Coturnix japonica: one gene and its partner. The protein of the gene in region 1 purifies or fractionates together with the protein of each later gene. This does not show direct contact. Links are inferred from orthologs where the notes say so. Each region holds a gene or a part of one and is shown on either strand. Other genes may lie near its edges.

Region 1 (2,908 bases):
TCTGAGGGAATAGTTGCAGATGCTGCCACAGCTCCTACTTGAGCAGTGAATTATTTGCTGTTGTGCAGATCCAGAAATCTCAGCTAGTCCTGACCTGATATAGAATTAAGGCCATTCCTGACTACTGAGTGTTCAGCAGCTTCTCTACAAGGTTCCAATCCCCTTCCAAAGCTAAAGAGCATTCTGACTCACCCACAAGCACAAGCTCTCCTACTGTCTGTCAAGAGTTTCACACACATCAGACTGAGGTCTGATCTTGCTTTAAGACAGGCACTTAACATCACACGAACAGGAGCTGTGGTGGCAGGCAGATGGTTGGACTAGAAGACCTTGGGGGTCTTTTGGAACCTTAGTGATTCTGATTTGCACCAAAACAGCAACATTTAAGTAGAGGTAACTTAAAAACAAACAAAAGCAAACAAGGAAAGCCCAGGAAGAGACTCCAAAGACATGCACCATGATTCTCACATCTCACAGGGAGCAATGCTGATTTCTCCTTCAAAATTTGCTGGAAGACAAAACATTTTAAATCATTCCGACACATCTGATGACACGTGTTTACCATTCAACTTCTTTTAAGAACAAGTTTATGTTGCATTATATCAAATGCAGAAAGTCAGCATGCCTAACACACACACAGATCCCTGAAACATCAGGTTAAAAGCTTAGTGACACCAAATGCTTTTGCCATTAACTGTTCCTATTACATGTAGTGCTCTTGTGTAATTTTAAGGGAATAAGATCTTTCCAGTCGTGTATCTTTGAACCATCCAGCTTCTGGTGAAGTCTCCAGTAAATACCCATAATTGAAGAGAAATTATTATGAGCAGCTCTTCCATGCTTGGGATGGACACAACATGGATAATAGTAATAAATCTTCTGCCACCACAAAACATACAATGAAATCATTTCAGTTCCGGTTTCACCAGGATATGTGCTTACTGGTCAAGTTGGATTTTGAAGGCTCCCAACTTCTGTGCTAAATAAAGAATAGTAGTTAATCAAGGAAAAGCTTTAAACAAGATAAACGGTGATCTCCTCAGCACAAGGAGACAAAAATAATTCCATTGCAAGCCAACAAAACACAGGAGTTTGATTCACCAATTTAATTTTATACAAGTCAAACTACACATTGTATAAAGAGTACAAGGCAGTTCTAATGTTGCATGTTACAAAAATCAATTTAGCTATAAAGGGGAGATTTTAGGATGAGTTCTATTTCACAGTTTAAGTGAATTGGCAACTGTGGTTTAGCAAAGCCTTCATTAAGACTAGAACTCTAGCTTGAAGAGATTACGCTTCCGGTAAAGTTCAGGTTCAAACACAATACGATCTTAGTTCTAAAGTAGAATGTTAACATAAATGAGTCTAAAGAGAGCAAAGACAGTTTTGTTTTAGATAGTTTTCATATCCAATAGGTATTTCAAGGCTGACAAATCATACAACATACTAGAGGACTTCAACTACATCCAAGAGACACTTTAGTGTCTGAGAACTGCCACTTGATAGTCAAGCAAAAAAAAACATCACTAAGCTTTCATTCTTTTAAGTCTCAAAAGTATGATTTGTAGCAATACTGCATGACACAGGTTATAGAGTACCTTTATTACCTTTAATACAGTCACAGTATTGGGGAGGAATGTTCTTTTGGCAAGTTCAGATGCAACACAAATGCTCCAACGTGAGTTTATTGCTGGTCTAGCCTTTCTAGTTTAGTTTCTTGCTTACAGCTTTGCAGCAGGCTTCCACAAATAAACCAGACAATTCTGATCTGCCCTGCAAGACGATCTTGCCTTTGGCAGCAAGCTGTAAACCTACTACGCCAATGATACTCATAGTTCTAAAACCTTGGGGGGGTGGGAGGGAGGAAAAGAAGCCCAGATTTAAGCCTGTTATATTCAATTTGTAATATAAAAACCACTTTGCACTTTAGAGCAGTTAAGTTACTCCAGCAGAAATGCTATAAAATCAAAGTTCTAGCTGAATGTCTAAAAAATAAAAATTAAAAAAAAAGGGGGGGGGGGGGGGGAGGGAGACTTTTCCTGCTTTGTACCACACCATCTGATCTTGTATTTTCAAATTTAGAATACAAATTAAAGCTTTATGCCTCATTAATTAGTTCTTAGGCCATTCAATCCTGCAAGAGAAAAAAACAACTTCTGAAGAACTAACATGACACTAATGGCCTGACAAGTAGGAAAAATGTTCCATAATAGTGTGCAAGGTAAGAGGAGAGTTCTAGCCTTAATCTCTTGAACTAGATCTTGATCGTGAACGAGACTTTGAACGAGATCTGGAACGGGACCTCGATGCAGCTCTTTTGGGTGGTGACTCTGAACGAGCCTTGGCAGATGGCTGCTGCTGTGGAGAATTGGAACGAGACCTACTCCTTGACCTGGATTTAGACTTAGTATCTCCTTTACCATTCTCTTTGGGAGATCGAGACCTGGACCTGGACCGAGACTTCTCTGACTTCTCCTTAGATCTGCTGTGAGAGCGCGAACCCCTGTCAGACTTGGGTTTTGATTTGCTCTTTGATCTAGACTTCCGGCTTTTAGATCTGGAACGTGAGCGGTCTTTGCTTCGTGACCTGGATTTAGATCTTCCAAAGAGAAAGACAGTTTATTCTGCATGAACTGAAACGTACTTATAGCCATTTTCAGTTGTTAGCAATTAATAAGTAGCAACCCTCTTGTACTAGGAGAAAGCAATGGATAACTTACCTGGAACGACTTTTAGAGACACTACGGGACCTGCTGCGGCTGCTCCTACTTCTACGACTCCTGCTTCTTGATCGTCTTCTAGATCGTGACCTAGACACATTCAAACACACGCAGGTCCTTACTGTTTGGTGTGCCCTGCCCCTCTGTTCATCACAGAGAAACTGTTAAAGAACTTCTCATTAAAG
Region 2 (3,825 bases), on another chromosome or scaffold:
ATGTACACAGAAATGAAAAAGGAACATATTTTAAAATCGTGGATCCAGATTCCTCTCTAATGTAATAACATAAAAGAAAAAAAAATCGTAGCTTCACAAGCACCCTAGAATATTTTTTCTTCTATTCATCACAGTTAATAACCAAATCCTGAATCTATAGTGATTTAAAATAAACGACAAGTCTGTTATCGAAGTTCAATTCAATTTCAATTGAATTCAATTCAATTCACTAAATGGGAAAGGAAAGAGGATCCTGAGGTGGGGATGGGAGGAAACAATTCCATTTCAGAAAAATATACTAGTAGATCCAAGAATATGCAGCTTAACTTCTAGCTATAAACCTGATCAAACCCCATTATAAGGCATTTCTGAATGCTTTAGATTAACAGTTTTGTAGCCCTTAGAAGGGATGGTTAAACAACACAGGCCAACATCAAAAAACTCATTCTTGACTTATTTCTCCCTGGCTTTTAAAATTACAATTACCTAAAAAAAAAAATAATCTCGTTTAAGAAGTGGAACTGGACTGTTCTTGCACCACTTTTTGCTTATAAAATTCCTTAGTACTAAACCAATTTAAATGAGAGAAGCTTGGCATTCAAAGAGAACATCAGTATAGGAAAATAAGTTTTCTTTTTCTATATTTCTAGAGGACCAGTGACTTAAGCATTCTTGAACCATATAAAAAGAAAATGAAGAACAAACAGTTACATTTGCCATTTTTAGACTGAAGATTTTTCGGTGCACAGTTATTTGTTTCCATCTCTCCCACAGGCTCAGGTTTGATTTGGGACATTGTTTTCTTTAAGGAGGCCATGCTGGCTTTTTGAAGAGCCAAATATTCTTGCTTCAAATCCATCCATTCAGTCCTGTAAAGGCAAGACAGGTAAACCAGTTGTAAACACAGAAATAAGGTTTAGAAACTCAGACAAATCTGTCTATGATGGCTGAAACTAAACTTGGCAAGTGATGTAGATCTTTCTTATTAGAAGTCCCCACACAGTTTGCTCATTTTCACCTTGGTCAGTACCTGCATTTTTAATTTTGCTTTAGCTTTTAGTATTTCAAGCAAGTTAAAACAAGAATAACCTCACTTGTAGAGTGACTCAAATTCATTACACGTTCAGAAAACAACAGTGGTAAACTCTCTTCTACTGGAACTACAGAGCTCACAGACTCTATATTCAGAGTTAATTCAGAGACAGTGAACTCTGAATTTACCGAATTAGTTCAGTGAAACCACTTTGTGTCACTATATTAAGAATAAGTCATTTACTTTCTAGAAAAATCATTGATCGAAAATCAACAACTGGTTAAACTCTCCAAAAACCCACTGAGATAAGAACATTCCTCACTATTCAAATGCACTCTGCTTAAAAAATACCACCACATGGAAGCAATTTATATATTTACATACATTTAACATGGAGATGTTTCTGCAAACAGCCAGAGCTTTGCTCCACAGAAACACAATGCCTATAGTGCCACTGTGAGAACGACTCATTGTTACCCTAATCTGTACTATCAAACAAGCTGATAGAGGATTTTTAAAGAGGAGGATATCTTGTGGTAATGGTTTTAGCTGTTAACACTGACAACTGTATACTTCAAAAAAAGCATCCAGACTCACCCAGGATCATACATTCTCAACAGAGCAAAGACATTAAAATAACAAAAGACCCACGTAATGATTCGTTGAGATAAAAAGGCAACACCATTCCATGGCGAGGTATGGTATAAATACAAGCACAAGGAGTTGCTTGTCAGCGTGTCTCCAAAGAAGAGGAGACTGTGGGGAATGAGGCAGGCAAGTATTTACAATGCTTATCCTCTTACGGATTTTTTTTTTTTTGCGCTTCGCTTCAATTTAAAACTTATTTCTTTGTCCTCAGGATCCTGGAGGAAGAAGACGAGCACCGTTGGATAACTTTTTTTTTTTGGTGTGGACCCCTTTTACTTTAACATGGAGGTGCTTTCTGTGATTTTACAAAAGTAAGTGCTTCCATGTTTTAGTAGAGGTGAATCCTGTTCTCAATTCCGAAATGCTGTCCACGGCTTCGTTCTTATTTTGGTCAAGAATTTTCTCCCCACAAGACTTGAGCAAAGAGACTTTTGGCCGAAAGCAGCTAAGGACGTAAACCAAGACAGTTTATGGTCTGTAGGTTCAGAAGGATTTTTTAAAGGACTTCCTCCGCTTTAACATGGAGGTACCTGCTGCCTACAAAAGTAAGTGCTTCCATGTTTCAGTGGTGGTGGATCCTAATTTCTTTCTCCTCTTAGAAAAATGACAAGCATTACAACGCAGCGCTGACATGGTTTATTGCAGCGCTGGGTGCATGGAGATCTCCACCTAGCATGCACCCAGCGCTGAAATAACCAATGTCGGCTTTTTAAACTATCATTTACTTGCATGATTTTTAATTGTGTTGTTAAAGTAATTGTTGTAGTTTGTTTTACAGAAAGAAGTGCAGCCTCTCTACTTAAGGTTTCCCACAACTTAAATGTGGACGTGCTTGCTTTGTTCTAAAAAGAAAGTGCTTCCATGTTTTAGTGATGGTGAATCTTTCTTCTCAACTGGAAACTGGAGCAGAAGAACAATTTCTTTATGGATCTTTTTGGTTTCTGTATTATGGGGGAGGGAGTGTGGGGCCTCATAATATTTCTACCACAACATCTCTAGTCAAGATTATTTTGCATCCTGTTTCTGTATTTGCACTGCACACAGTCTTGTATGCAGAGCTAGTAATCGGACAGCAAGGACCCCCTCTACTTTAACATGGAGGTACTTGCTGGACACCTGAAAAAGTAAGTGCTTCCATGTTTTAGTTGTGGTGTCTCCTGAAACCCAACAGATGTAGAATTCTGGCATTCCCACTTCTCAACTACAGGCTAATACTGTTGCTAATATGCAACTCTGTGATATAAAAATTGGAATTGCACTTTAGCAATGGTGATGGACTGTCAGAAATGCACACTTGAATTGCACACTAAGTTCTCATTCCACAAGCATTACCTAAAAACTCTTGCATAAACCTTGTATAAACCCTTGTACAAGCTGCTGTATATACAGATTACTTATATAAAATGTGTGTTGGCATTCAATAAAACGTGAAACTATGCACATTTTTTTTTTTTTTTTTTAAACCTACGCAGAAACTCCTCATGGCAACTGAACGTTTTAAAATTACAGTACTCCCAAACACATTCACTGGGCAAAAAGGCTACTACCACTTCTACATAACTTCCAGGGCCAAGACTCGACCAAATACAGACAGCTAAATAAGTAATATGAGGCATAATTTTAACCTGCAAGTTTCAACACTGGGAAGGGGGGTTTTAAATCCACAGGAAACCCAAGCAGTGAGTAAAACTCACTTCGGCTTGGGCATCTTACACCATCACAAACTGCCTGCTCATAATCAAAAGACACTGGTAGTAAGCCACATATTAAACTTACTTTGAGAGTACTCTGAGTGGAATAACTTCTTCACCCATCTTGTGTCTTTCTTTGTGTTTTTTCTTGTGTTTTCTTTTAGATTTTGAAAAGGATGCGTCTTTTTTATCACCATCTTTATCATCTTCCACAGGAACATCTAAAAATTAAAAACCCAAAAGAAAACTGGTATAGAGGCAAAACAAATGGCTAAAGCAGACAACTGCAGTTTCCCTCCCCCAACATTTTTCTTCACTCAGCAGCCATTAGATAAACAAGTTAGGACTTATTCCCTAGTCCACTTGCCTAGCTTAGATCTATACTGGATTCTTCTTGCACATGCAAATGCCACTGCAATGCAGCTTTGAATCCCATCTCTACTAACATTTTTC

The links.
Region 2: the proteins of SRSF6 (region 1) and LARP7 purify together in Homo sapiens (affinity purification with mass spectrometry; 3 studies listed by BioGRID and IntAct, with this or other methods). This does not show direct contact. The link is inferred for Coturnix japonica from reciprocal best matches to the Homo sapiens genes SRSF6 and LARP7.

The regions. Positions count from the first base shown.
Region 1 is NC_029535.1:35,436-38,343, forward strand, and holds the end of SRSF6 (serine/arginine-rich splicing factor 6), read right to left. Parts: intron 2,814-2,908; coding exon 2,724-2,813; intron 2,603-2,723; coding exon 2,245-2,602; 3' UTR 571-2,244; downstream 1-570. UniProt on the Homo sapiens protein: Plays a role in constitutive splicing and modulates the selection of alternative splice sites. Plays a role in the alternative splicing of MAPT/Tau exon 10. Binds to alternative exons of TNC pre-mRNA and promotes the expression of alternatively spliced TNC.
Region 2 is NC_029519.1:51,160,082-51,163,906, forward strand, and holds part of LARP7 (la-related protein 7), read right to left. Parts: intron 3,594-3,825; coding exon 3,458-3,593; intron 870-3,457; coding exon 712-869; intron 1-711. UniProt on the Homo sapiens protein: RNA-binding protein that specifically binds distinct small nuclear RNA (snRNAs) and regulates their processing and function.